Linked DNA regions of Diceros bicornis minor. The protein of the gene in region 1 interacts with the protein of each later gene in a pairwise test. Links are inferred from orthologs where the notes say so. Each region holds a gene or a part of one and is shown on either strand. Other genes may lie near its edges. The genes, in order: DZIP3, HNRNPF, ZCCHC10 and HNRNPUL1.

Region 1 (7,798 bases):
ATGCCAAATTTAACCACTAACGCCACGGGGCCAGCATTCTCTCTTTCAAAAGAAGACTGATTGGGGCCGGCCCGGTGGCGCAAGCGGTTAAGTGCGCGCGCTCCGCTGCGGCGGCCCGGGGTTCGCTGGTTCGGATCCCGGGCGCGCACCGACGCACTGCTTGGTAAGCCATGCTGTGGCGGCGTCCCATATAAAAAAAGTGGAGGAAGATGGGTACGGATGTTAGCCCGGGGCCGTCTTCCTCAGCAAAAAAAGAGGAGGATTGGCGGATGTTAGCTCAGGGCTGATCTCCTCACAAAAAAAAAAAAAAAAAAAAAAAAAAAAAAAAAAAAAAAAAAAGAAGACTGATTTTTTGATCACTAGCTATGACTTTTCTGAGTACTGTATTTAATACTGGCATTATGCATACGTATTTTTTTTTAATTCAAAAGAAGACCAGCACTTCCCAAGGTGCATTCTTTTTCTGTAGACCACTGAAACTTTGATATGCTTCAGATTCTTTGCTCCAATAGTTTTAAGAAAGGATGCATATAATAGTCCCCCTTTACAAGAGATCCACAATACAAAATAGTTCTGAGAGGTCTTGTGATAAAGAAATCTTTTGAATGTGAACCATTTTCCAAAAGATTCTATAACTAAACCTGCCCTTTAAGAAATGTTAAATTCATACATCTTCCAAAAAATGAAAAAGAGAAACGAAATACATACCCAGTTGAGAGAGCAAACTGATGATACTTAAGATCAGTGGAGCACTTATACTTGGGTCTTCAAGCAGCTCCACAAGGCAACTCAAGCATTCACTTGGTAATATCTGATTCGATGTAAACAATCGGGTGAGCTTCTGTCCAGAAATTACCTACAAAATAGTAATTAAAATGTGTGAGTTAAGAATTGGCAATTTTCACCTCTTCTCCATCTCAAATAAAAACTCAGTCTCCCAAAGTGCCACTGCCACTCTCTTTCTCGATTTAGAAAATTCATCCATGCCGTTCCCTCTGCATGGTAGATTACCTCTCCCTTTCCTCACCAGCTAATGTAATCACTGGGTCTCAGTTTTAATTTGCTTTCTCCAGGAAGCCTTCTCTAACTTTCTTCCATCAACTAGGTTAGGTTTGCCTGTTATACTATCCTATAGTAAATTATACTTTCATTTCATATGTTGGCAAGCCTTTGCTGACCTAGCAATATTTATCCTCCCTACCCACACTGAACACTCCATGAAGGCACAGACTACAAATCAACACTCTACTACCAATATATTTATTGAATAAATGAATTCCAGTACATTCATTTCACCTACTTTGAGAGAGGCAAATGATAAGTGAGAAGAAGCTAAGTACAAAGGCTTAGCTACGGGATTAACTATGTGATTACTCCTTCCGCTCCTTCCCAAAGACAGTAGTTGAGTCCAGAAGTTAGAGATTGCAAAGAAGGAAGTTGAAAAAAAATTTTTTTAAGCAGCCAGGTCAGGCACTGAAAAATTTTATTATTTGTTATTCCACTTTCTACTCCTCACTTATATACCTATAAGCATCCCCCCACCTCCCAAAAAGGTAAAGCTAGGATCGAAGGCCAAAAACAGTTGTCAGACAGCCACTTATTTTCAAAATGCTTTATGCATGTTATTCATTATTAAGCATATCTTTTCTATAAAGATGGAAAAAACAATTACTTACTTTAGAATTAGATTGAATCTGTTCTAAACACTTCTATTTCTACAAGACCAAGTCAAATCAGGCTGTTTTAGCATCTCTCTAGCTTCCATTTCTGTATCCCTCTTTCATTCCTCCACCCAGATGTCAGTTTTTCTTTTTCTTTCTTTCTTCTTTTTTTTTTTTGTGAGGAAGATCAGCCCTGAGCTAACATCCATGCTCATCCTCCTCTTTTTGCTGAGGAAGACTGGCACTGAGCTAACATCTATTGCCAATCCTCCTCCTTTTTGTTTTTCCCCAAAGCCCCAGTAGATAGCTGTCTGTCATAGTTGCACATCCTTCTAGTTGCTGTATGTGGGACACGGCCTCAGCATGGCTGGAGAAGCGGTGCGTTGGTGCGCGCCCGGGATCGGAACCTGGGCTGCCAGTAGCGGAGCATGCACACTTAAGCGCTAAGCCATGGGGCTGGCCCTCAGTTTTTCTTCTAAAGCTTTGCTGATCAGACAGCTTCAGAATATCTGTTCCCAGGGAGTACTTGTTTTAACATTCAATTAAAAGTCTATCAGACTGAATAAACAGGTCCAAAGGCAAAATTAGATACCAATAGTAGATATTTTGGGGTAAAGAACCTTCTGAGCATTGGCCTTTTGCCAACTTATAAAGCTAGCCTTCTACGAGATTAAGACATTTTTTGCTTTAAATACAATTTCCCTCAGGAATGGACCCGTATTTCAACAACATAAGTATTCTAATACGTAATAATAATTTTTTACGAGGTAAAATGAAAAATGCTTTACAGATTTTCTTCTTTACTCTTACACATTGAATGTTTTAATGCAAATAGAATTTATCTTAGTAATAACTAATACTTTAGGACTTACTCTAGCCTAGACATTGTTCTAAGTACATCATGCATGTTAATTCCTTTCACCATAATAAGGCTGAAAGGTAGGTGCTAGCTGTTTTACACATGGGTAAGCTGAGGCACACACTGATGAGACAGCAGCACAACTAAGATTCATTGCTCCCGAATCCATGCTTATAATCATTACATAAGAATAGTGCTATGCAATAGCATCAAGAATGAGACCAGTTCAGCTCTGGCAATCATAAAAAAATGCAAAGCTCAGGTTCTACCTGGGGCTACAAAGAAAAAAATATAGCAGAAGTCCAGAAGAATAGCAGAGTGAACAAGCTCCTTTCACATGATAACTCTCTGTTATCTTCAGATGTTCTCATGAGGTCCGCACAAAGATATTCACCATTAACACTGTCCGCCAAAACGGTTAAAACTAAAAAATCTGAAAATGTCAAGGATCAGTATGAATGAATGAAGCAAACTTCACATATTGCTGGTGGGAGGGTAAACTGACATAACTTGTGGAAAATTGTTTGGCAGTTCAACTAAAACTGAACATAAACTTACCATAAGACCCAACAATTCCACTCCTAGGTATATAGGAGAAATGAATACATATATCCACAAAAAATGTATGAAAATGTTTATAACAGGTTTATCGTTAACTCCACCCAGAATTGGAAACAACCCAAATGCCTATCAATAGGAGAATGTATATAAACTGTGGTTCATTTGTACAATGAAATTCTACATAGCAATAAAAAAGAATGAAGTACTGGCACACATGCAACATGAATGAATTTCACAGAGTATATTGAGTGGAAGAAGCCAGACACAAAAGTATACATGGTATGAGTCCACTTATCTGAACCCTAAGAGAAGGAACAACTGAAAAAATCTTATAGGGCGCTGGAAATGTTCTGTATCATGACACAGGTGGTAGCCACTTGAGTGTACACTTATGTTAAAAAAAACTGTCAAGATCTTCACTTAAGATTAATGCACTTTATGCAATGTACGTATGTTATCTCCCAATTAAATGGTAAAAGTGTTTTTGGTAAACCCCTTGGAATTCTGGAAACACTATCAAGGAGCCAGTCTCTAAGCCTCAAGTTTCTTTGAAGTCTCCTTCAATTCACCATAACATTGTGCTCAGAGTCGCAACATACCTGTTTATTCTCAAAGAGGTAATGTTTCAGATCAGTATCTAAACTGCCTAACTCCTAATTCTTAAATAAAACTGACAGTTCTGCTTTTCCTGTGGCTTCTGGAGTCCACTAGCGCACTGTTCTATCCTAATTGAGAAGTGAAGCCTTAGAATTTAACAGCTAACACCTTAATTATTAGGTTTGCAGGTATTCGTTGAGGTAATGAATGAAAAAAGAAACCCAATGTACTTAAGACACGGGCAGCTACTCCAGTTTCACCAAAGGCTGATGTTGCTGTACCATTCTCAATCGTCTTTCTCCATAGTATTTTGCTAATCTTTGATAATTTAGCCTTTTATCATAGGGTTAATATAATAAACAGAATATATTTTAAAATTATGTTCAATTCTATGTTAGCAGAAACTGCGACAATTTTTTTTTTATTAAACTGAGGTCAATATTAGTTGGAATTCCATGAATGCCATAACAAATGACAGCAGGAGATTAAGACCCTAAAAATAAACAGGATCAGAAAAGCTGTGATTATAGCTTTCCTTTGGAAAACACAGAATAAGTCTTCTAGACACAAATCACTGGGAACCAATTAAAAAAGTGAAAGAAATTCAGCATTTTAAGACTGAAAAATTGTGAGTAATACATTGTGGTAAAGAATAAAAGATTATTATTATGAGTAAGGGAGATTGTTTCTTAACCCAAAGAAAGTTGACATAATATTTTTCAAGTTCGATTCAACATGAGTTCAAGTAAAAGCAGTAAGCGACAGGTTCAGATTGTAGACTGCCTAAAGGACAAGGGATAAAGCAAGTGTTAATCGTCACTCCCCATCACCTCCACGCCCGAGAATTGCTGTATATTCTGAGGGCTCTGTTACGATGGAAAAAGCAAAAGAAGCACAAGGAAGATACAGCGTTGTCCTCCGCCCACCCGAAGCACAGCCTCAATTCCCCAACCTCTTGCCCCACCCTCCCTCTTCCTAGGGCTTTCGGTAGTGACTTAAGCCTCTCGCTGCAGCCAGCTGAACGCGGCGGGCCCCGCGGCGGGGTAGAAGAGGACGGGAATTCAGGCTGACGCTCCCTCGCCTTCTCTGCCAATACAGAAAGACAGCTGAGCGAGCGAGGGGCCGTCCTTTCCTTCCCAGGCTGGGGTCGCTACGCCGGGCAGCACCGGGAACTAAGGATTACGACAGGGAAGCCCATCTCGTCCCCTACCCCGGAGCCCCTCACCTCCAAGTGCCGCAAAAGCTGGCTGGCGTTCGCTTCCGACTTAACGGCTTTATACTGACTGATGGTCAGGAGCAAGGACTTCAAGCAGGCGGTGGAGTCCATCGGGACCCGCCACAGCCCCACCTGGGGGCCACCACCACACCTCCAGCTCTCTCCTCCAGCTTTCTCCGCGCTTTTTTTTTTGATTTTCGGCCCCACCCCCCTCGCTCTCAGATGCTTCCGGTTCCGTTCGCGCTCCGGAAGTCCCTAGGCAACCTGGCGGACGGCTCTCAATAAAGGGAGGTGGTGGGGAAAGTCGAGGCGCTCTGTGCGTCCGTGAAGGGCGTTGACATCCCGGTCTTATCTGAAAAGCCGCGAGGTTTCAGTTTCGAGATTCCGTGAAGACGACGAGAAGTCTCGCGAGAAATGCGACTGCGGCTCTCTTGTGGAGGGGCGGTTGGGCTCAGTGGGGTCCTGTTTGTCAGCGCGCTCCGTTTTCGTTCGCTTCCTCGGCCTTCACGTTGGATGGCCGGTTTCCCTTTGTGCATCATCTTCTGCCTGAGAGATGGTCGCTTCCCTCTAGTCTAGACACGGTGAGGGGCTCTAAGGACGAGAATCTTGGGCTCTAGATTTTGAGGCGGCCTGGGAGGGGCCTCTTTTTAAAATCTCAGATATGTCCACCGCTTCCACCAGGAATGTTTGTTTCTCAGCGTAAACCTGTGGCCATTGGGATTCTGTGGCAAGTTAGTCCCGCCCTGACGGTAGTCGTCACACTTATTCGAGAAAGCTCCCTCCGGGTGACTCCTGGGCGAAGTATTGCTCCGGAGGGCGTTCTCATTAGCGTCAGTTTTTGTAAGTGAAGATGTCTGTCTTTATCTGGCATGATCGGTTGTTTCGTAACTCTCGGTGTCTGTGAAAATGGCACTGTCGTTTGCGGTTTTTGATCAGAGGTAATATTATGCGTGTGTATATAATGGGATGAGTCGAGAGTAGCTAGCTGGAGCTCTTTGCTTCCTGTGTACTAACGTCGAAACCAGTTTGCAGAAAATTGTAGGAATAGGATACGTGTCCTTTTAAACCACTCGTCAGAAATCATGTTTTGTCATTTCGAAGTATTTTTTACATCACTATCATTTAAAGACGGGATTAAAAATCCATTTTAAAATTAAATCTGAAAGCTTAAAATAATCTAGCCAATTGCATACGTCTAAAGATCATTGGGTAATTAGCTATTTATAGGTTCGTTCATTCTGTAAATAGTTATTGAGTGTATAACATGGGCTAGATGTCGCCGGTCAGGGAGCAAAGATAATGAAGTATCCACTGCCGAGAAGGGACTGTCTAATAAGAAGGGAAACGGACTAATGGACAGTATATATGGAGTTCACCACATGGGTTAGAGGTACCGCGCAGTGCTGATCAAGAGTGGAGTCAGGCTGTCTGCTTACAAATCCTAGCTCCACTTTTTGCTGTGTGACCATAGATAGGCACATTCTCACTGCTTCCTCTCTTCGTAAGGTAAAATCGGGCTAACAGGAGTACTTGTCTTATAAGATAAATTCAATAAATAATTCATTGAGAGCCTACGGTGTGCTAGGCACTTGTCTAGGCACTAGAGATTCAGTGAATCAAAAATCCTGCTGTTATGGATATTATGTTCTGGTAGGGAGAAAACAAATAATAAACACAAGGTAATAAGGAAAGTGAGATGGGGAAAAAAATAGAGCAGAATTATTCCTCTAGAGTTATGGTGGCTGAGAAGAAGGGAAATGGGAGGTTAGGATAGAGAAAGCCGTGTTTGAGAAAAGACGTCAAGGAGTTGAAAAAGAGAGCCATGATCTCTCGGGAAAAGGTTTCTAGATAGAAGGAATAGCAAGGGCAAAGGCCCTGAAGAAGGAGAATGACAGTGTGTCAGGAACAGCAAGGATGCTGCTATGGCTGGAGTAGGGAGCAAGGGTGAGTAGAGGAGATGAGGTCATGTCAGGTGGTGCAGAACATTATAAAATGAGTTAATCAACATAAAGAATTTGGAACAGTTGCCTGGCGTAATGAAGTTCTCAGCAAGTGTCAGTTACATCTTCGTTTGTTGGCAGATGCAGTGACGACAGTTTGGTGGTGTTAAATAATGACAGGTACTTCATCATCATCTCCATTCTAAGCCAAGGGAAAGGGTCAAAGCTGCCTGCTGTTAAGTGCCATCTATCTTTGAAATCTTCCATTTTAACTTAAGCTATTCATACAGATTTTGCGTTCTTTTCCATAAAGTATTCATTTTAATATAAAATAATGTTTCTCAAAAAATCTTCACCAGAAATAGATCTTGTAAATTTAGTAAGTTGTGCCATAGTGGTAGCTGTGAGAAACCCTGACATCTTTAGTTGGAGATACTTGGATATCCTAATATGAACAACAGAGCCATCTTTTAAGCCCCAAGGTGGGGGAAAAGGAAGAGGAGGAGATGAAGCTGGGTCCAGATGACTGAAGGCCTTGTTAGCCTTGAGCTTGGACTCCATCCTGAATTCAGTGGTGATCTCTGGTTTTAAACTGGGGCCTGATCTAGTTGGGTTTGTGTTTTATATTGATTACTCTGGCAGCTGGATGGACTATGATTTTGAGGAGGATAAGGCTAGAAGGAGGGAGAAGGTTTAATTTGCTGGAGTCTTTCCAAAGGATAACCAGGATAATTGAAGTGGAGATAGCAAAAAGGTGACAAATTTGAGAAATATATACAAGGTGAAAGAGGCAGAACTTAGTGACCGATTTTGGATGTGAAGAGTGAGGAAAGGGATGAAACTAGTAGGGATTCCAAGTTTCTAGTCTGTGTGATTGAGAAGATATAGCTACTGCTGAGGTAGTTAATAGGAAGTATTCAGGTTGTGTTTTATGTTCAATGAAATTTTATATGGTTTATCATAC
Region 2 (6,854 bases), on another chromosome or scaffold:
AGGGGTTGGTACTCAGGGGAAATGTGGGGCTGATTCAAAGACTTCAGTGCCAGGCTCCCGCCCACCCATCCAACCATGATAGTTTTGAAATAGAAGCTGCAGAGGGAAGGAACTGTTTTAATCATAATACCTTGGGTAAGGTACAGTGAGGTCAGATGCAGATCAAGAGAGAGAAACTGGAAAGAGTTTTACGGTTTTTTATACTCACAGCTCTCGGAGGAGAACTCAACATGCCACCGGGGCCACTCAGGGGAAGCACCAGGTTGGTCACAAGGCAGAGCAAGAGGGAACTGTGGGCAAGCACCTTTATTGTGGTTTTTGCTGAAAGGAAAGGGTTAAACAGGGCAAACAGGTTTAGGATCGGCTAATTTAAATAATTTCAGTGGGCTCCGGAGCAAGGGGCTGTCTCTGGTTGATATCTGGCCCTGGGGTAATTAGGGAGTGTATGGCGGCCCAGAGTGTCAGAGCCCGATAAGGGAGGTGTTTGGTAGTGTGGACTTAATTGGCTGTTTAAGAAGAGGAACTAGACCAGCGTCTAAGCAGGGCCTCAAAACCGGATCAAGATAGCACACATCTACCCACACAAACTGTATTACAGGAAGCAATATTCTTTTTAAAAAAAGTTATGTAAATGGACCACACATTTTGTTTCTTCTCTGATCACAAAACGTCAATACCCCACCAGTGGTGGTTTAATCTGTAATTTTTTTTTGGTCCAAAACAATGAGAGGAAATAGTCAATACGTCAAAATGTCAATATCTCTTACATTTGTACAATATCTACAATTTTGTGTTTGTTTTCAACAGTCTATAATTTTTTAAAATGGAAGTTACTACAAGAGAAAGGCAGAGGGAAGCTGCAAGCTGCCCTGCACCTGGCAGATCTTTTCTTTTCTTTCCAGTTTTATTGAGATATAATTGACATATAACAGCACATCTTGATCCAAATGAAGTTTTCTGATTCTCCTGAGGCCCCATAGTAGTGAAGGCATCTAACTGCACATACTTTTGGGTGGGAACACTCATGATAAGGCTAAAAGCTGACAAATCAGAATGGAGACAGAGCTAGACCTTTGTTCACTAACATTCAAACCAAGGCTTGTTGCTGGGCCGGCCTGCTGAAGAAATGGTCAAAGTAAGGGTAGCCACACAACACTGCCCAGAACCACACAGTCCACCTGCAGTCTTTTGCTACGCAAAGAACCCAATTCAAGCAAGTAACCATCAAGCTCAGGGGGTGCCATAACATCTCTTTCACTAACTCAAAGTGCTGTCTGAAAGAACGTAAAGTACCCTGAAAGCACTGCAAATAACCCTGGGGGCGGGGGTCGAGCCCTCTGTGGTGGTGACTTTCCTCTTGAATAAGCATTGTGCTGCTTCAAAGGTGCATTTTTCTATATTAGTCAAGAAAATTAACCAGACGAGGCTGACTTCTCAACTTGCCTCTGTCCCAGCTGGGTTATCTTATCCCTCATCTCACCTACTAGAGCACCTGGCCTCAAGGATAAAATTTACATTTGGACAGTATTTATACCGTGGCTGGACAGTTGAATTTGCTTTCTCATTTCGTTCTTTCCCTCTCTCAGATGGGAAAGGGAGACAGAGAAGGGGCTGGTAAGCCAGGCTGAAAGCCCTACATCTTGAGAGCACAGCAGTTAAGAGGGCAGATCCTGGAACCAGAGTGCCTCAGCCCAAAGCCCAGATCTGCCATCTACAAGCTGAGTGACCTTAGCAAAGTTCCCTTAACAACTCTCTACCTCAGTTTCCTTCCACTAAGTGGTGATGATAGTAATAACATCTACTCTTGGGTTGCTATGATGTTGAAATGAGATTAAGTATTCAGAACACTGCAACACGTTAGGTATTGTTATCATCAATGCTAGTTAACAGATACTGTGATTTTGAATAAGAGCCTTGCTGAGCCTTGGTGATCCTGCCTACCCACTGGCATTCTCCTGGGGAAGGGGGTCAAAGCTTAATGGGTGAAGTGTTCTTTCAAGTGGTATCAACTGGGAAATTTTAAGACTCTAGACAATACAAACCTCTGTACCATTTGTTATGGACGAGTAATTTCCAGAGAGAAGCTTATTTTTAAAACTTAAAATATTTATTAAAAGGTCTTAAATTTGTGATAATCTATTTACATAAACAACAGGAAATAAACAGGTCAGTCTGTAACAGGATACATCTTGGGGTGATCTTCATTTGTGGTGAATTCAGTTGTTTTTAAACCACAGACCTTAAAGGCTCATCTCTGTGTAGGTACTCTCAAGAATCAAAAAACGTCTCTTTTTAGATTTCAGAGCTTAGGTGACACTTTTCTGTACATAGAGATGAAAAGAAAGGGTAGAGGCCCCTAAGCCCCCACAGCTGAGGAGGTGATCCAAGTAGACCAGGATTGGGTAAGCATTCTCCAGTTGGTGAGATGAGCTGGACTTTTGTGGAAAAGACCTAGGATCTGTGGCACCAGTCTGATTCCAGCCCTCACTATGGAAGAGAGCCTATATATGGCTGTGCTAGCACTCACCTCTGAAAAAGATAACATAGTGGACACCTGGGATGACTCCCTTGGACAGGGGGAGGCTCATAATCAGGCCAAGGCCCTAGTCTTCCATTCAGAGAAGACCTCAAAGGTTACTGCATCACTGATGAATGATGGAGAACTGTCAAACTTGATGAGGGCATCAAACAGCCCACAACAGAAGTCCTTTTAACAGACTGCATGAACCTATCTCCTTGAACCTGGTTTCACAGTCCCAAATTCTGAAGCATTACTATTTTTTGGTATAATTTTAATACTTGCCTCAGATTGGCTCTTGCATTTTGTCTCCAGAAACAGACTTTTCTACAGCATGAGCAGTGACAGTCATTGTGGGGTTTCTTAAGAATACCTATCTGATTTTTGTAGGACCCGTTTTCTGTAATTTTGCCTTTGATTAATTTTCTTCTTGTACATTTTCACCTCCTTTGACAGCTCCTGCTTTTACCCTTCCCATTTTTTCCTTCCTGGAATCAGCTTCTTTTGACAAACTACGCTCCTCTCTCTACTATCATTGTCCACTCATAATCTGATACTATGCCAAGCACTCCCTTAATTTAACTGGTAATTTTTAAGTAATCTTCTCCTTAACCTGCGATGAGGGTCTTGATATCGTCATCTTTTTAAAGAGTGTCTGCAAAATTAAAATGGTAATAATTATTAACCCAAGGACACATCTGCTCCCCTGCCTCAGGCGGAGTAGCCATTTCCATCCAGCTTCTCAATTCAGGGCCTCTGTGACAGGCAACCCTGCATTCTCCTTGGGTCTTCTGGGTCACCTTGAGAGAGTTGGGGGCTTCTCAGCCCAAGTGATAATCACGTGAGCAACCTCAGTCAACCAGCTAATCTTTCCCTAAACTCTCCCCTCGGAGCCGCTTTTTTCGTCTCCGGTGTTCTCGGTTCCCTCTTTCTTCCTCGGCAGGAAACGACTCTCATTTTCTTCTCTCAGGCTGGTCTTCAAGCCAGATGCCCTTTGCGCTCACTGTTTGGGGAGCTCTCCCAGTCAGTATCGTCAGGAGCTCAGGAGCGTTCCGCTAACCCTCCCCTTCCCAGAGAAAAGCTCGCCCTCGTCCCCCCGCCCCGTTCCTCTCCTTCCACCACCCAGCTCCGCAGGCACTACCAGCCCCGGGGCCGGGCCAACCAATCCCCGGCTCCGCTCCCGGCGCGTCACAATGGCGCCCTCCCGGCCCCGCCCCGCGCCCAGCCGGCCAATCCCCGGCTCCGCTCCGGGCGCGTCACAATGGCGCCCTCGCGGCCCCGCCCTGCCGTGGTCTTTGCGTCCTTCCGGCTCTGTCGTGGAAGTAGCGCTGCGCCTCGTCTTCCAGGAGAACAAGGTGGGGTTTGGTGGGGAAACCGGCCTGCGGTCACGCCAGCACACGGAAGGCGGGCGGGGGCGCGATCTCTTGGGGCTGCTGCTCCCAGGTGCTGGGGCACAGGGCCGAGCGGGGACCGGGCATGTAAGGGCTTCCGGAAGCGCCGCGTGCGCACGACGGGCGGGAGTTGTGGACTCGGGCCTGCCGCGCGCCTGACCCCTCCCCTCGGAAGCCCCGCCCAGGGCGCGCTGCCAGGGGTTTCCATGGTGATGGTAAACAAGCCTCAACTGCCTCAGCTACAACTGCCAAGTCCCCCACGTTCCACCCTCCTCTAGGTGCTCAGGGGGACGACCGAGGTGCCGGGTGTGAGGAAGAGCGGGAGCGCGGAGACTCCGAGCCTGAGGTGAGGGGCGGGACGGGCCGCGGGTCCGAAGCCCACACACCCGGGACCGACTGGCTACTGGGCCCTCTGGGTGTGGGGACAGTGGGGCTGAGATTTGGGGTCGGGGGAGGCAGGGTCTGAGGTCAGGGGCCGCACACCCGGGGACCGACCGTGGACTGGGCTCCCCTGGGGGTGGGGACGGCAGGGCTGAGATTTGGGGTCGGGGGAGGCAGGGTCTGAGGTCAGGGGCCGCACACCCGGGGACCGACCGTGGACTGGGCTCCCCTGGGGGTGGGGACGGCGGGGCTGAGATTTGAGGTCGGGGGAGGCGGGGTCTGAGGTCAGGGGCCGCACACCCTGGGACCGACCGTGGACTGGGCTCCCCTGGGGGTGGGGACGGCGGGGCTGAGATTTGGGGTCGGGGGAGGTGGGGTCTGAGGTCAGGGGCCGCACACCCGGGGACCGACCTTGGACTGGGCTCCCCTGGGGGTGGGGACGGCGGGGCTGAGATTTGGGGGAGGTGGGGTCTGAGGTCAGGGGCTGCACACCGGAGGACCGACCTTGGACTGGGCTCCCCTGGGGGTGGGGACGGCGGGGCTGAGATTTGGGGTCCGGGGAGGCGGGCCTGAGGTCAGGCCTTACACTTGACTGGACCAGGGGGCTGAGATTTAGGGTTAGGGGAGGCAGGACCCGCGGGGAGGAAGGACAGGAGGGCCTCGGGCGGACTCCAGGGGGAGCAGGGCGCGGGCACACGGGCCTGTCGGATGGGGCTTCCTTTAGAAATGAGAGCAGTTCCCTCACGTGGCCGGGCGCGTCCGGGAGTTGCCCAAGACTGGCTGGGCCTGGCTCCTCCCCCTCCCACGTTCCCGCTCGCCGCGCCTCCACTCTCGGTGCTCACGGCCTTTTCTTCCTCTCCGAGCCGCGTGTGTGCCCTGCGCGCCCGTCCGCGTTTGTCTCCTGCCCGTCGAGGTACAGTGTTCGCATGTTGGGGTGAAACTCTGGTTCTCGTTGTCTTTGCCTGGTGACCACGCTTCTGCTGAGCGGGCTTAGTCGGCCGTTTCGTTTTTCCCTCGTGCTTTCCTTCTTTGTATCTTTGAATATGTGTTTCGCTGATTCTTGACTGCGCCTAAGAAACTTCCGGACGCTGCTGGAGCTCGCGCGGCGCCGTCTGCCTCCCGTGCTCCTGCGCGGCTCCCTGAGGTGGTGCCGCGCGGGTCGCGGGGACCTGACCTACTCGGTCCCCGGACCCTGGTCTATTATAGAAACGGTGGGGAGGCCGCGGGCCCCTCCCGTTAATCTCTACTTTAAAGGGCCTCTCAGGACCCCAGTGTTCCCGCAGACAACCCTCAGGCCCAGGAGAGCCCCCCCGGCCCCGGGCACCTGCGGGACCCTCGCCCGGCGTCCCGTCGGCCCCGGCCCGCCGCTTGCGGGACGCCCTTGGCCGCATTCTCTTCCCCCGGAGGCCCCAGGACGAACGGACACCCCTCCTCCGCTGGTGTTTACAACTGTCTGCGGGCCGGGTGCGCGGCGCGAGAGGAGCCCGCGAGGGTGGCGCGCCGAGGGGGGACGGTGCGACCGCGGCTTCCCAGGGCCGCCGGGGCGGGGGGCGCCGGGGGTTCGGGGCGGCCTCAGGTGTCCGCAGGCGCGGGAGCGGGAGAGTTTTGAAGGCTGCAAATAGTTTTTTATATCAAACATCATCGAAACTACTGACCTTAATATAATTCTCACTACTACTTTTAGTCACGTTCTTAAAAGTTAGTTTTCGTTTCTGAATTTCTAGTAAGGATGAAAATATGTCGGGTTCTCAGGTTAGATAAAAAATATATTAAAATCTAATCTCTCAGTGAAAAGTAATGTTTTCAGTATGTACTAATTTCTAGACAATTTTTTCATTTTAAAATAGATTAATTTCTACATATAATGAATATTGAGAGAGATTGCTTTATTACTAATATTAAGTAAGTCCATAATTTGCCTTGGGGATCTCATGTTTCTGTATGCACTTCTGTAAGTTGATTGTTTATTATTTCCATGTTATGATCTCGTTTTTTTTTAGTTTTTTTCTATTTTAGTAACATTCTTCTCGTAATATTTGCCTTTTTGCTACCTTTCTTTTTAACTGACAAGTGACTGGTTTTCACTTGAGTATTGTTACAAAGCTCCCTTTAAACATAAAATATTCAAGGAAAAATGTGAATTGATTTAAGGGAAAAGATTGATTAAATAGGAGAGTTAGTCCTCGGATATGGCCAAAACTGTGAAGAGTGTGGAGACTTAACGGCCTAGGTGCCTGGAGGGGCTGCAGAAATGGGAGGTGACTTCCTGCCAGCCTCTGCCCAGTCTGAGCTCTGGCTCTCCAACTCTTTGTAGATCCGCAGTAATTGAGCCTTAGTGGGTCCAGGCAGAGAGCTAGGTTTAACCACATTTTTCTAATCACATGCTCATGACCAGTCTACAAGTGGGTATTGTTTTATTCCCATTGTACAAATGAGAAAATGGAGGCGGTGAGAAAATAAGTTGCTTGCCTAGGGACACAGCTGGGACTAGGACTCAGGACTGACAGGGACAGCCCTCCTCTGCTAGGGCCCTCATCCCCACCTGGTTGCCCTGAACCAGGGTT
Region 3 (7,270 bases), on another chromosome or scaffold:
CATCCTGACCAATGGCAACCCAGTCCAGAGAGATGCAACTCTCCCTCCAACACACACCTTTTACATCCATCCCTCCCTCAGTTCTTTGAGACATCTTATATAACTGGAAGGCACTTGGGGGACGTTTTCCTAGAATAAAGGAATAGTCTGCTTAAAGACTGGTAAAGTGTTCATCCTCGCGAAGGGCCGGCCCCGTGGCTTAGCGGTTAAGTGCGCGTGCTCCACTGCTGGCGGCCTGGGTTCGGGTCCCGGGCGCCCACTGATGCACCGCTTCAGTGCCACGCTGAGGCAGTGTCCCACATACAGCAACTAGAAGGATGTGCAGCTATGACATACAATAATCTACTGGGGCTTTGGGGGGGAAAATAAATAAATAAATACAATTATAAAAAAAAAAAAAAAGTGTTCATCCTCGCCAGAGAGAAATTACTTGCAGCTTTCACAAGAGTTTTTAATTTTTTCAGCTTCTACTCATTAAAGTTTACAAAATTTAGCATCTGAATTTTAGCCAGGGTCCTCTGGACAAAGCTGAGGGTCCCTCAAGCTCATGGGCCTCAATGGGAAACAGCTATATTGACTTGGTCTTGCCACTGAAAAAGCAAGTTGTTATCGTATTGTGTGTGTGTGTGTCTGGCCCCTGTGTTGAACTCTCTAGAAGCTTTTTTTTTTTTAATTTTATTTATTTATTTTTGCCCCCATAGCCCCAGTAGATAGTTGTATGCCATAGCTGCGCATCCTTCTAGTTGCTCTATGTGGGTCGCGGCCTCAGCATGGCTGGAGAAGCGGTGCGTCGGTGCACGCCCGGGATCCGGACAGGGCCAGCCAGCAGCAGAACGCTCGCACTTTAACCGCTAAACCACGTGGCCGGCCCTCTAGAAGCTTTTAACTAATTCTTTTTTTTTTTTTTTTGTGAGGAAGATCAGCCCTGAGCTAACATCCATGCCAATCCTCCTCTTTCTGCTGAGGAAGACTGGCCCTGGGCTAACATCCATGCCCATCTTCCTCCACTTTATGTGGGACACTGCCACGGCATGGCCTGACAAGCAGTGTGTCCCTGTGCACCCAGGATCTGAACCCGGGTCACCAGCAGCAGAGCACCCCCATTTAACCACTACGCCACGGGGCCGGCCCCTTAACTAATTCTTTAGGCTTTCCAGGTGTGCGACCAAATCATCACAAATAATGTCATTGCTTCCTCCTTTCGATTTGTTATATCTCATTCTGTCTCTTGCCTTTTCACATTTGCTATAATGCAGTTTCTTTTAAAATTAGCTGGCAAAAAATCTGAGTATTATTTTGTGGGAAACTTGAAAATTTGAGAATAAAGCTCACCTAGGAAAATAAATGCCTAGGAGCAATAAGGAAAATTGAGGAGAAAGAAAGATTAATGAGGAGGGACTTGCCTTATCAGATATCAAAATATCCTATAAAACCATGGAAATTAAAACTATGAAACAAATACTGGCACAAATACATCTTTGGAAGAAAATAGAATGTCCAAACAAACTAAATTTGTACATATTTGGTACATGAGAGACTGGCATTTCAAATCAGTAAAGAAGTGATAGATTATTTAGTAAATGGTATTTCAAAAACTAAAAATTAGGATTAAGAATATAACCATAATTGTAATTAAAAAATTACAATAAAATACAAGAAAAAAATTTAATAATCTTTTTTTTAAAGATTTTATTTATTTATTTTTTCCCCCCAAAGCCCCAGTAGATAGTTGTATGTCACAGCTGCATATCCATCTAGTAGCTGTATGTGGGACGCGGCCTCAGCGTGGCCAGAGAAGTGGTGCGTCGGCGCGCGCCCGGGATCCGAACCTGGGCCGCCAACAGCAGAGCGTGGGCACTTAACCGCTAAGCCACGGGGCCGGCCCTAAATTTAATAATCTTAAACATAGGGGCCGGCCCCGTGGCATAGCGGTTAAGTTTGAGTGCTCCACTTTGGCGGCCTGGGGTTCCCCGGTTCGGATCCTGGGCATGGACTTACTGCTCATCAAGCCATGCTGAGGCAGCATCCTACATAGAAGAACTAGAAGGATGTACAACTATGACATACAGCTATCTACTGGGGCTTTGGGGAGAAAAAAAAAAAGGAAAAAATGACGAAGATTGGCAACACATGTTAGCTCAGAGCCAGTCTTCCTCAGAAAAAAGAATAATCTTAGACATAAAAGGCCATACTAAGCATGAGCCAAATCTAGGGACCTATAAAGGAAAAGATTGTTAAAAATGCCTATACAAAAATTTAATGCCTCTGTACAGGGTAAATGATCACAAAGTTAAAACACAACAGACAAAATAGGAAAAATATTTGTAAAATATAAAACAGCATTTATATGTAAAATATTAAAAGTTTCTACAAATCAATATTAAAAAGATAAAAATCCAATAGAAAAATAGGCAAAGAATTTGAACAGATAATTCATGAAAGAAGTACAGTCTTCAACAATCATATGAAATGTATTTAACCTCACCAATAATATATCATATTGGCTTATTAGATAGGCAAAAGTTTAAAAGTTTGACCATTCTCAATTCTGGTGAGAAAGTAGGATTTGGTTGCACAACCTATTTAAAAGACAATAGGTAATATATATCAAAATTAAAAGCACACATATCCTTTGACCCAGCAATTCTACTTCTAGGAAGGAAGTCATCTTACAGAAACATAGGTGAACGCTTAAAAATCCATTCATTCCATCTTTGTGGTAAATGGTCTAATGGTTCAACAATAGGGCACTGATTGGATAAATTGTGGAATATCCATATAATCTACATAAAGTAATACATAAAAAGAATGAATTAGATCTGTATGTGCTGATATGGGAAAAGATGTCCATAAGCACATTGAGGAATGAAGGAAGCAAACTGAAGAACAGAATAGTTGGTAAGATTCCATTTTTTTAAGAACAAGATGTGCTCAAAGGTCACATGACATCACCTTCTCTAGCTCCCAATGGTAAATCTCTCTTTACCTCCTTACCCTGAATCATTTTTCTTCAGAGTATTTATGTTCATTGGACATTGCCTTTGTTTATTGTCTCTAGAAAGCTCCATGTGTACAAGGACTTTATTTGTTCAGTGCTCTATCCCCAGTTCCCAAAACAGTTTAGGTGTTCGATAAACAGTAATTGAAAAAAATGAATGGGGACTCATAAATATGCACACATATATATTTCAAAAAGTTATATATAGTTCAAAGAACGTGGATTTAAGGGAATAAAATCTCCATGATCTGATACTAAATGCTAAAATATCCTAAAATAATTAATATTTGTCTAGGGCCGGCCCCGTGGCTTAGTGGTTAAATGCGCGCGCTCTGGTGCTGGCGGCCCGGGTTCGGATCCTGGGCACACACCAACGCACCGCTTCTCCAGCCATACTGAGGCCGTGTCCCACGTACAGCAGCTAGAAGGATGTGCAGCTATGACATACAACTATCTGCTGGGGCTTTGGGGGAAAATAAATAAATAAATAAATAAATAAAATTAAAAAAAATATATATATATTTGTCTAATCTTTTCCCAGTTGACAAAGCAGCTTTACTTAGTCTCATTTGGTTCTTGTAAAATCCCTATGAAATACATAAAAATAGAAATAATTAACATATATTTGCACTTTATGGTTTGCTAAAGTCAGTCTTTCAGTTGATGGTCCCAATCCTGTTCTACTCATTCCTTTTTTTTTTTTTTTTTTGGTGAGGAAGACTGGCCCTGGGCTAACATCCATGCCCATCTTCCTCTACTTTATATGTGGGACGTCTGCCACAGCATGGCTTGATAAGCAGGGCATAGGTCCGTGCCCTGGATCTGGGCCTGCCAACCGGAGGCGGCTGAAGCAGAGTGTGCGAACTTAACCACTATGCCACCTGGCTGGCCCCAACTGATTCCTTTTTATTTTGCTCTCCAGACTACTTCTAGTTTTCTGAACACTGCACAGTTTTATTCATATATATATGACTATATATTCATAAAATATATATACTTCCCTCACTTGAGAATGTTTTTCTCTGCCTCTCCACTCAATTTACGCGTACCCATCCTTCAAAACCCTGTACAGGCTGGACAAATGGCCTCACTTCTCTTCCTCAACCTAGAGACCCACACAGCAGACACAACACCCCAGCCTCCCACCCATTACTAGCCCCAAAGGTTGTCCCGAAGGCCCGAGACGCCGGCCAGGCTCCGCCCACGCCTGTGGCCGGCGGGTTCGAAGCCCCCGCCCCCACCGAGGGGTTTCCCAGCATGCAGCGCGGCAGGCCTCAGCCGCGCTAACATGGCGACTCCCATGCATCGGCTCATAGCCCGGAGACGAGCGTAAGTGAGGGCCGGAGTCGGGCTGCGGGGCGGGCTGGGGGCGGGGAGAAGCGCGTCAGCCGGCGGGTGAACGGGCGCCGGGATGCCGGGCCGGCGTGGGATCCTCAGTAGGGAGCGGCAGAGGGTGGCCGTTTTTTCTCGCAAGTTGCCTGCTCCTAAGGGGCTCGGGCTCGGGCCCGGGCGATAAGTTTGGTGCCCATGGGGTAGCGATTTCGTGAACTACGGCTGCGTAAGGTCCGCGGTGCAGGATCTAGGGGGTGTCTGAAGAAAGCCTCGCGTTTGGTTCTCACGAAGGGGACGCCCAGGAGTTGGTCCGTAAGTGGTTTATGCCCCTCTGCCACCCACCTGGCCACCCCATTCGTAGCCAAGAGAAGACTGAAGCCCTGATCCGACACCCCCGACTCTCGCCGACGTAAACCTTCAGCTCCCTAAGCAACCTCCAGCCCCGCTGGCTTTTCCTACCCACTTCCTCTCGCCTGTTCCTCGGGAACAGCCCGACTACAACGCCGATTTTTCTCACAAGCTGTAGTCTCACTTTCTACCATTCGTTTTCTTCAATAAATATTAATTTATTCATTGCCTGCTGCTTCCTGCCAGAATTGGGATCTAAAGAAAAAGAGGTGTTCAAGACATAATTCCTGCTTTCAGGGAGCTTACGTTCTAGTGGTGGAAAGAATCGGTAAACTAAACATTTTAAGTAAATCCAGTTGGTGATAAGAGCTTTGAAGGAAATAAGAGGTGATGGAAAAAATGAAAGGCCCAAGTTAAGTTGGTTGGACTGGAAAGGCATCTCTGAAGAGGTGGCATTTGAACAGAGATCAAAAGTGTGAGAAAGCCAGTCATGAGAGGATTTGGGGAAAGAGCATCCAGACAGTGGCATAATTGCTTTGAGGCAGGAAAGAGCCTAGTTTTTAAGAACTGAAAGATGGCTATTGTGGCTAATGAGTGAGAGAGTGGCACAGAAGTTTGCTGTGGTCAGATAATGTGGTAGTCATCTCAGATGCCCCTTTCTTATAAAGCCTTTTTTCTTCTGCCAACCTGTACACCCAAACAATGTCTGTCACTTTTTCATTCTCTCAGCATTTCATATCATCACCATTTACACGCCTATAATATATTGCTCACAGTCTGCTAGCATATATATGTATGTTATATTTCTTTTTATATTTATATTTTTTATCTTAAGATCCGTGTTCCTTCTCTTCTCGCTCCATTCCACTCTACCTCTCATGCCTGATGAGGAGAATTTGTTGAGCATAAGGATAAAGACTTGGGGTCAGAGTAGTATGCTTGGTGGAGGAAGAAGGCTTTGAAGTCAGACAGTTCTGAGATCAAGAATGGAGTGATGATAATACTTAATGGGCATGCTAAATGACGTCACCACGGTCTAACTTTCAGATTTGCCCTTTTGGGTGTTGGTTCCATACTTAGATAGATTTACTCCTTTGGTCCCAGGATGGCTGCAGTATCTAGGATCCTGTATATCCCCTCAGCTTCAGGTTGATGGCATCTCATTGATCTAGATTGGGTTACATGCCCAACCCTAAACCATGTCTGTGAGATTGTGAAGCTCTGATTGACTTAGATCTAGTTCTCTTCCCAGCACAATTGAATGGATCTCTATAAACCAATGATGAGCTGGGTGGGTAGGTCAGAGGAGGTCATGAATGCTGGATTGGCAGAACCAACCAATGTGCACTGTAAATATGAAGTGAAAGTGAGACTTTTAGCACCTAAAGAATATCGCACCATTTCTTGTTTTGTAAGTCTTAGAAAGTTGAACAGGTGTTCCGTTTCTGCAATCTGCCTGTATTTGGTACAGGAGCTACACAGAAGTAAAAGACAAATCTTAGCGTTAGGAGCTTCTGATCTTGTTGGGAAGAAAACATATGGTGTATAATAAAAAGTGTCATGGTATACAGACTATATAAGTCCCTAGGGAGTCAGAGAGGGAGGGCCTTTAGAGGCTAGGGGAGTCCAGGAGAGTTTGGGAATATCTGGGGGGGGGGGGGAAACAGAAGAGGAGACTTTACTTTTCTTTCTTTCTTTCTTTCTTTTTGCTGAGGAAGATTCGCCCTGAGCTAACATCTGTGCCAGTCTGCCTCTATTTTTTAGTATGTGGGCCACCAGCACAGCATGGCTGCTAACAGAGTGGTGTAAGGCCCATGCCCGGGAACCGAGCCCAGGCTGCTGAAGTGGAGCATGCCGACCTTAACCACTAGACCACCAGGGCTGGCCTTACTTTTCATTTTATATTCATCAAAAAGGTTTAATTTTATTTATAAGGAGTATATATTACTTCCGTAATAATAAATTTTAAACTTTTTAAGTTATGGGAAATGAGAAAGCACTATTGTCATTCTTTTTAAGTCTTTGGACTAATAGAGGAAAGAGGGAAATAAAAGAAAAAAAGAGAGAGCTTAAATTTGAACTCCCCATTCAGCAGATCTTTCAGGCACTTAACTTTAAATCAATCGAAATGAGATTATTTTCACTTTTTAAATTGTAATTACATCTACTCATATGTGAGTAGATTGTAGAATCTTGGTACTATCTGGGGTCGTTTCTTCTGCTAAACCCTCTGCTGGATTCTACTGCTCTCTCTTCAGTATCCAGAGTAATATCTAACTTTGGCTAGAAGACCTCCAGTAAGGACATACCTCCTGAAGTAGCCTGTTTCATTTTCCAAATTTATCAAAAAGTTTATATTGAGCTGAAAGGAAAATAATATTGATGAAGCTAAACCTGCTGCCTTCTAACGTCCCAGCTTTTGACCTAAGCTATAATTTCTGTCAGTTAAAAACCCTAAGTGTTTTCCACTTGAATTGCCCTCAAGTCAAGCTTCCCCGGTCTTGTATTTGTATTGGTTTTCTGGACTTGTGTCCGACTTACTTTTACCCTTGTTAAATTTCATCTTGTTAGATTCGACACTAATTTCCAGCC
Region 4 (7,992 bases), on another chromosome or scaffold:
GTCACTGCTGCCGAGTCAGAATTGAGTCACTAAGTGCAGCTCACACTCAAGGGGAGGGAAATTAGGCTCCATCTTTTCAAGAGAGGGATGTCAAAGAATTTGAGCACTATTTTATTTTATTTTATTATTTTATTTTGTATTTAATTTTAATTTTTTGTGTGTGAGGAAGATTGTCCTTGAGCTAACATCTGTGCCCATCTTCCTCTATTTTGTATGTGGGATGCCGCCACAGCATGGCTTGAGGGGTGGTGTAGGTCCACGCCCGGGATCCAAGCCCACAAACCCTGGGCTGCCAGAGTGGAGTGTGCAAACTCAACCACTCTGCCATGGGGCTGGCCCCAGGCACATATTTTAAATTGCACAGCTTGCAAGCCTTTGATGCCAGAGACACATTGGGAAGCTCTGCTCTAGCAAACCCTCACTAGAACACCACCCCATACCCAGAGAGGTTTCCCAAGACTCTTTCCAGCTCCTGAGTCTCCCAGGATCCCCCCTCAGAAACTCTTGAGAATTCCCAAATCCCCATAGATGCCCCCAAACTGCTATGGTTCCCTCCAGTCCCATGAAATGCCCCCAGACTCCCAGAATGTTCCCCTTCTGAGCCCCTGCTCAGTCTCCCACCCCTGACTTTGCTGCCCTAGGTATGTCCTGATGTCCCGGTGCTGGGAGCTAAACCCCCGGGACCGGCCGAGTTTTGCAGAGCTGCGGGAAGAGCTGGAGAACACGCTGAAGGCCCTGCCCCCTGCCCAGGAGCCGGACGAAATCCTCTATGTCAACATGGATGAGGGTGTGGGTCATCCTGAACCACTTGGAGCAGCTGGAGGAGCTGACCCCCCAACCCAGCCTGACCCTAAGGATTCCTGCAGCTGCCTCACCGCGGCTGAGGTCCATCCTGCTGGACGCTATGTCCTCTGCCCTTCTACAGCCTCTGGCCCCACCCTGCCTACTGATAGGGGCTCCCCAGCATCCCCGGGGCAGGAGGATGGAGCCTGAGACAACCCTCTACCTGGGACTCCCTCTCAGGACCCAAGCTAGGCACTGCCACTGGGGGACCCCCCTCCACTTTCCCGCTCCAGGCCTTACCCTCAACTGCAGCTCTCTCTTCCTACCTATTCCACTTCCATCCCAGATAGATCCTCCCCCTTTTCCATGCCTTTGTGTCCCCATGTGTAAAAGGAAGGGGTTGGACTGCAACCCCTAAGGGTCCTCCTAGGTCTAACATTCCAAGATTCTAGATTCTAAGGTTTAAAGAGTCTAGACTCAAAGGTTCTAGGTTTCAAAGATGCTATAAGTCTTTGGTTCTAAGGACCTGAAATTCCAAAGTCTCTAATTCTAAAGTGCTAAGGTTCTAGACATAGAAGTCCTAAGGCCTATATTCTAAGGCTCTGAGATTCTATGGCTCTAGATTTTTCTGGTTCAAAGATTCTTGATAAAGCCCACAAGATTTTAGGTTCTAAAGCTCTAAGATTCTAATTCTAGGATCTAAGACTCTAAGATTCTAGATTTTATTTTTCTAGGGTTCTGAATCCTTAGGGTGTAAGATTCTAGATTCTACAATTCTAAAAATTCTACAATTCTAGACATGGAGGTTCTAAGGCCTAATGTTCTAAAATTTGATATTCTAAGCCTCTTAGAGTGTAAATCTTCTGGCTGTAAGACTAGATCATAAGCCTTCAAGATTTTATCTTCTCAAGTTCTAAGATTCTAATGATGGCCAACTATAGGTCTAAGGCATTATGATCCTTGAAACTCTTGTTAGGAGATTCTGGATCCTAAAGGTCTAAGATTCTAGAATCTGCAATTCAAAAGTTCTAAGAGTCTAAAGATGGAGTTTCTAAGGTCTCATGTTCTAAGATGTGATGTTCTAAGACTTAGCCTAAGAACCTAGATTCTCTGTGTCTGAGATTCTAGATCATATGCTTCAAGATTCTAGATTATTAAACTCTAAGATTCTAATGTTGGTCTGTTCTATGTTCCAAGACACTTTAGACTCTATTGGTCCAAGATTCTGGATCTTCAGCATCTGAGGTATAAGTCTCTGCAGTTAATTGTGACTAACTAGATACCAAAGTTCTTACCATTTCTTTCTTTCTTTTTTTTTTTGAGGAAGATCAGCCCTGAGCTAACATCCATGCTAATCCTCCTCTTTTTGCTGAGGAAGACCAGCTCTGAGCTAACATCTATTGCCAATCCTCCTCCTTTTTTCTCCCCAAAGCCCCAGTAGGTAGTTGTATGTCATAGTTGCACATCCTTCTAGTTGCTGTGTGTGGGACGTGGCCTCAGCATGGCCGGAGAAGCAGTGCGTCCGTGCGTGCCCGGGATCCAAACCCGGGCCACCAGTAGCGGAGCGTGCGCACTTAACCGCTAAGCCACGGGGCCAGCCCTCTTATCATTTCTAATGCTGGACATCTTTAGGTTCTATGCTGCATTCTGCCTTTCTAGGATTTTAGTTATGGGTCTAAGATCCACAGTTCTAAATCTTAAGATTCTAGACACTGTAGTGTTAAGATTCAAATGTTGTAAGATTCTACAGGTCTACAGGCATAGAATTCCAAGGGACGATTCCAAGGTTCTAGCCTTATATTCTTCTGTGTGACCTTCCCCTTCTTAGCCACCTCTGCTTCCTCCTCCCTTCATGTGGGGGTGTGCCCCCTCAAGCCTGTGCAATGCATTAGGAATGTCTCCTTTCCCCAGGGGACAATCTTCCTCCTCTTGGGCCATGCTGCCCCCCTGAGCCAGTCTCTCATGCCCCTGTACTGAGTGTGGACGCTGGCGCCTCCAGAGGGGCCCAGATCACATAAAACTTTGTAACCACACTTCCGTCTCCTCTCGTCTCCACTCAGCTGTCATGTGGCCTCCCTCCCTGGCAACTCAGTTTCCCCTTCAGTAAAAAGAAGAGTTTGGTGGGGTCTAGGAGTTCTCCCCTCACTAAAGAGGGTAGAGATGAACATACACATAGACAAAAAGACACGCAAGCAAAGAAATGCAGACTCTCTGAAACCCCTGGCAAGGAATAGGCACAGAGATACTCACGAGGTCACACAGAGACACTCCTCCCCACAAAGTAACAGATACATGAATTAGTGGACATACTCAGGCACACCTGGTCACAAATACAAAGACACTGAAATTCAGACACATGAGTAACAGAGACACACAAAATTACACAGATACAAACATATTTATAAACATATGCACAGGCAGATACTCCCCAGGAATAGGGAGAAACTAGAGTAACACAGATACAGACACACAAAGAGTAAAGTGACACAAATACTCAGAGACATATAAAGTACAACAGGTACTCACAGACCCAAACGTTCAGATTCACATAGAAACACAGGCACAGAACACCTCCGATAATCACCAGCCCATAAAGGGACTCCTGCCAAGACAAGTCCCCTGTGTTTTGCACGCATCGCGGGCACACGTTCCTGGGTGTGTCCAGAGCAGATGGAGGAACCCTTGGCAGCGCCCGGACGCCCCCCGGTGGCGGCTCCTGAGAACCGAGAACAGTTCAATCCGGGCCACAAACTTTTTTAGAACAAATCATTCTGGGAAGCTGGGGGTAGAGAGGAAGTCGGACGTGGGCGTGGGGCGGGGTGTCTGGACTGAAACCTCTGGGCCCACGTGAGTGTCTGTCCCGCTTCTGAGTGGGTGCTGGGTGTATAGGTTGCCGTAGTGTAAGCTTGTGTAACTGTCCTGTGTGTCTTTATCTTTAGATGCCGCCTGCGTGTGCGGACCTTAGTGGGCACATCTACACTGCAGTTTGGTGTATTACCCCTTGAATTGATGCATCTGATCTGACTCACGGCCATTTGTTTATCTGTGTTGTGTGTGCCTTTGTCTAAATAGAGGTCGTGTGTGGCTTTTGTGGGCTGAAGGTATGGCTCAATGCGCAGCGGGCGTTTGCATTGTGTGTCTCGATTGTGCATCTTACAGAAGTTTTGAGTCTTTTCAGTTAGAGGCGACAGGTGGTGCAGCGTTAGACATTGTGAAACGCTGTGTGGCGTTTGTATTTAGCAGCGTGAGGCGTAACTACGGACCTGTGTGTTTGAGCTTGTCAGTAGAGACGCCAAACAGCCACGTCCACTGAACAGGCGTCTAGAGGATTTGGGGTAGAGACCCGCGAACCTCTGGAGGTCTTTCCGGGGGGGACGGCTCTATGGTCGCGTGCAGAGCGCCCATTCCACGTAAGATCCCAACCATAGAGAGAGAGGGCAGCGAAGCTCAGATCGGGGAAAGAGGCGCCCTGTGAGATGTACTATCAAAGGGGAGAGGGTGCCATTTCCTTTACAACTTTTCTCCCGTTGTTAGACTAGCCTCTATTTTCAAACCTGCAGGACTCTCTGAAGTCAAAGGGTTGCTTTTCATTAAGACAACTGAGTTTTTTCCAGGCTAAGAATAATTAATCCACTTAATCTCTATTTCGTATACCTCCTTCTACAGCGAGATTTGTGAGGCCGTCCGCTGAAAAATGGCCAATCTGGTTAGCTTTTCCTAAAGCGATCCAACCGTACTAGCTTTAGTGAGATAAAACAATAACTGCGATTGGTGGGCAGATTGTTTTGAAACCGCCCTAACGGCAAAGGGTAGGTCCTTCGTGAATTCATCTCTTTCCGGTTTTTAAAGGCAATAGTGAAGGGGGGGGAGGGTCTGCCGACCCTCCATTTGATTGGTTCTAGTGGTTTTACCCGCTTGGACGCCTCTAGGGGCGGGAGATCTAGACCAATCAGGATATGTGTTACAGAGACACTAGTTTGATGAAAGGACCGCGCAGGAAAGGCCGTGAGGGCGCTCATTCTGAGATCTCGTCGCTGATTGGCCCAAGTCTTTACTCCCTTTCCCTCATTTGACCCTACGAGAGAGAGCGCGCCGGCGCTACCCAATCACCGCGCGCTCCGCCTCCCTCCTTTTCCCGCCCTCCGCTCCGGCCGCGGCATCAACGTAGGCCAACGCTTCCTCCCCGGCAGCTCTTGAGCCCTTTCTTTGCCGTTCTTTTGAAAGCCGCGCTCTAATTGGCTGAATCTCCAGGCCCGCGCCCGCTGCCCTCACGAGGTGACCAATTGGCACCCGTGTTGCATCGCACGGGGCAACAGAGGAGGGGGAGGCGGCGGCGGCGGCCATTTTGAGCCGCCGCCGCCATTGGAGTGGGGGGCCCCCCCCTTCCCCCTTCGCCTACTGACAGGAAAGGTTTAAGGGGGACAGAGCCCTGGAAGGCCGGGCCGGGCTCGGGGGCCGCCCCGGGGGCCCGGGCCATGGATGTGCGCCGTCTGAAGGTGAACGAACTTCGCGAGGAGCTGCAGCGCCGCGGCCTGGACACTCGCGGCCTCAAGGCCGAGCTTGCTGAGCGGCTGCAGGCGGCGCTGGAGGCCGAGGAGCCCGACGACGAGCGGGAGCTCGAGGCCGACGACGAACCGGGGCGACCCGGGCACAACAACGAGGAGGTCGAGACCGAGGGGGGCTCCGAGCTGGAGGGGACCGCGCAGCCACCGCCGCCCGGGCTGCAGCCGCACCCGGAGCCTGGCGGCTACTCGGGGCCGGACGGACATTGTGAGAGTGCGCGGGGCGGGGGCCGGGGAGCCCAGAGTCCGGGCCGAGAAAGGGCTGTGGGACGCGGGAGTCCGGCGCCCGAGGTCGGGGAGACGGTCTGAGGATTGGGGGATCCCGCCACCCGCCGCTGAAAAGGATCTGGGGACCAGGGCCTCGGGACGACCGGAGGGTGGATCCTGGCATTTGGTGCAAAGGAGATAGTGGAGTGGGGGCTCCTGGTTTCGGAGAGGAGGACGGTCTGGGGGGTGTAGAGCCTGGGGCTCGGGGACCGGAAGCCGTCGTTTCTGGGGCCAGAGAGAGTCGGAAGAACAAGAAATTTTCTATTCAGGGGCTGAGAAGGATCTTGGAAATGGGGATCCTAGGGGTTTGGGGGCTGTGCTAGCCTGGCGAGTGGGTTGGGCGTTAGGAGCCTCGTTTTAGTGCTCGGGAAGGAATGACCAGGTGTCCAGAACTAGGAGAGTTTTGAGGATGGAGGATCCTGGAGTTTGCTGCTGGATGAGGTACTGGGAATTCTCAAATTTGGTACTGGAATAGGTTGATGAAATGGGGGTGCTAGTGTCTGGCCGGGGAGGGTCTGATGGACTGGGTGCTCTGTTTGGCTGATAAGTGTGTAGGGGATGTGGGACACCACCGTATGATTGGACTATGGGAGACCCACATCTGTCTGAGGATGGCCTGTAGGAGTGTGAGATCCAGGGCTGGCAGGCCAACCTTGAGGCAGGGGCAGCTTGGGCATTTGGTGCTGGGAAATCTTGGGACCTTCTGGTTGACTTCCAGAGGAAGCGTAGGGAATCTTGGTGTCCGGAGGCTGGCAGGGGAGGGAAGGATGCTTCACTGGACAAGGGACCTAGAGGACTACAGCTGGGAAGGCTCTCAGGACAGATAACTCAGGGGCTACTGCTGAATGATCTTGGATTAACAGTACAGGTTGTTTGGAGAACAGAGGTAGCTAGGAGTGGAGCGGGACAGATGGTTGGTGGAGTTTGAAGTCGATGGAGTATCTGGGGGACGGAGGATCCTTGTGTCTAGCACAGGAGTGTGTAGCTGGTCTAGCAAATATGGGGGAGGGGGGGAGGGGAGAATGTAGAATGTGTAAGGAGAAAGAACCTGTTGATTTGTCTGGGGGCCTCTGGGTGGAGTCCGGGGAGTGTTTCTGGGGCTGGGTGTCTCCATGAGAGGGCTCCTTGGTTCCCAGAGGCAGTTATTTGTGTGCCCAGGGATGGGGAGACCTCAGAGGGTAGCAGGGAGTCTCTGCATCAGCCAGAAGGTAGGACTTGAAATGAGAGGGAGTAGGATAGATCTGTGATAGTCTGAAGAGAGGAGACCGTGGTATGGGTGGGAGTAAATCTGGAGTTAGAAAAGGGTGGCTTCCTAGCAGGACTAGGGAATGGGGACTGGGGAGAGTAAGGAGTAAGTAGAAAGGATACTGGCGTCCAGGATTTCTGGTATTTCTCTGAAAAGAGGGCACCCTGGGCCATGGGGCTAAGGGAATGAGAACAAGGGGGTCAGGGAAGAGACATGATTTGGAGTGGGCGTTGAGTACTTACTTGTTCGAGAGAGATGAGATCTCCGGGAGGGGAGCAACCTGAGTGTAGATTTAGGGTGGAGAGCAGCCTAGGGCTTGTCCAGGACCCAGGTGCTGGAAAGAGTACTTCCTATGCAGAGACCTGTGAAGGAAAGAGGAGTGGCCCAGCGTGCATGTCTAAGGCAGGAGACACCCTGGCAAGAATGCCTAGGAAAAAGGGCCAATGGCTGGAGGTGTCTAGGAAAGCGAGTTAGGTGCTCCAGAGCACAGGCTCTAGACTCAGACAAATTTTTGTTTCAAATATGACTCCATGACTTGGACAAGTCACTTCAGAACTCGGTGAGCCCTGGTTTCCTTGTGTGTAAAATACGGAGACTAATGCCCCCAGGATTGTTGTGAATGAGATCGCATGTGTAAGGGGCTTAGCACTGGGTCTGCCTGTTATTAGGAGATGGATGTTTTAGAGAGTGGAGAAGGACCCCAGAATCATAGCTTCTCTGGACGAAGCTGCCTCAGTGGGCACAGGAGAGATTCTCAAGAAGAGAGATATGAGGCTCTATGGGAAGAAGAGCACTGTGCTTGGAGCCTGGAGGAAACAGAATGGTTTGAAAGGGCCCCCCGTGTTCCAATTAAGGAGATATTCTATTTCTTCATCTCTCTCCTACCCTCTACAGCAAAGTCCTTTGAGCCCCGTTCATGCCCCCCTCCAACCCTTCTTTCAGCTCTGGTAAACAGACCTGTAGCAAACCACGTGATCTGTTACTTTCCTCCCTTTGGGCTGCACCTGGTTTGTGCCCAGATGTATTTGTCCTGTGAGAAAGGATCCAGTCAGTTAGCAAGTGGCAGAATAGTCTCTCCTTCCCTGTGGTTCTCCCTCACTGGTCCTGGCACAGCCACTAGTAGGGCCCTAGAGG

What was found.
Region 2: the proteins of DZIP3 (region 1) and HNRNPF interact in binary tests that used the Homo sapiens proteins (3 or more experiments, as listed by UniProt). The two-hybrid records come from large-scale screens. The link is inferred for Diceros bicornis minor from reciprocal best matches to the Homo sapiens genes DZIP3 and HNRNPF.
Region 3: the proteins of DZIP3 (region 1) and ZCCHC10 interact in binary tests that used the Homo sapiens proteins (3 or more experiments, as listed by UniProt). The link is inferred for Diceros bicornis minor from reciprocal best matches to the Homo sapiens genes DZIP3 and ZCCHC10.
Region 4: the proteins of DZIP3 (region 1) and HNRNPUL1 interact in binary tests that used the Homo sapiens proteins (3 or more experiments, as listed by UniProt). The link is inferred for Diceros bicornis minor from reciprocal best matches to the Homo sapiens genes DZIP3 and HNRNPUL1.

What each region holds. Positions count from the first base shown.
Region 1 is NC_080754.1:11,807,580-11,815,377, forward strand, and holds the start of DZIP3 (E3 ubiquitin-protein ligase DZIP3), read left to right. Parts: upstream 1-4,778; 5' UTR 4,779-4,903; coding exon of another isoform or gene 4,904-5,005; 5' UTR 5,006-5,475; intron 5,476-7,798. Other genes in the region: protein CIP2A, read right to left, coding at 709-856, 4,904-5,005. UniProt on the Homo sapiens protein: E3 Ubiquitin ligase proteins mediate ubiquitination and subsequent proteasomal degradation of target proteins.
Region 2 is NC_080745.1:15,289,124-15,295,977, reverse strand, and holds the start of HNRNPF (heterogeneous nuclear ribonucleoprotein F), read left to right. Parts: upstream 1-3,841; 5' UTR 3,842-3,873; intron 3,874-4,187; 5' UTR 4,188-4,255; intron 4,256-5,121; exon of another isoform or gene 5,122-5,203; intron 5,204-6,854.
Region 3 is NC_080740.1:52,289,415-52,296,684, reverse strand, and holds the start of ZCCHC10 (zinc finger CCHC domain-containing protein 10), read left to right. Parts: upstream 1-4,267; 5' UTR 4,268-4,286; coding exon 4,287-4,327; intron 4,328-7,270.
Region 4 is NC_080773.1:15,283,296-15,291,287, forward strand, and holds the start of HNRNPUL1 (heterogeneous nuclear ribonucleoprotein U-like protein 1), read left to right. Parts: upstream 1-4,974; 5' UTR 4,975-5,258; coding exon 5,259-5,553; intron 5,554-7,353; exon of another isoform or gene 7,354-7,417; intron 7,418-7,438; exon of another isoform or gene 7,439-7,992. Other genes in the region: AXL (tyrosine-protein kinase receptor UFO), read left to right, coding at 642-993.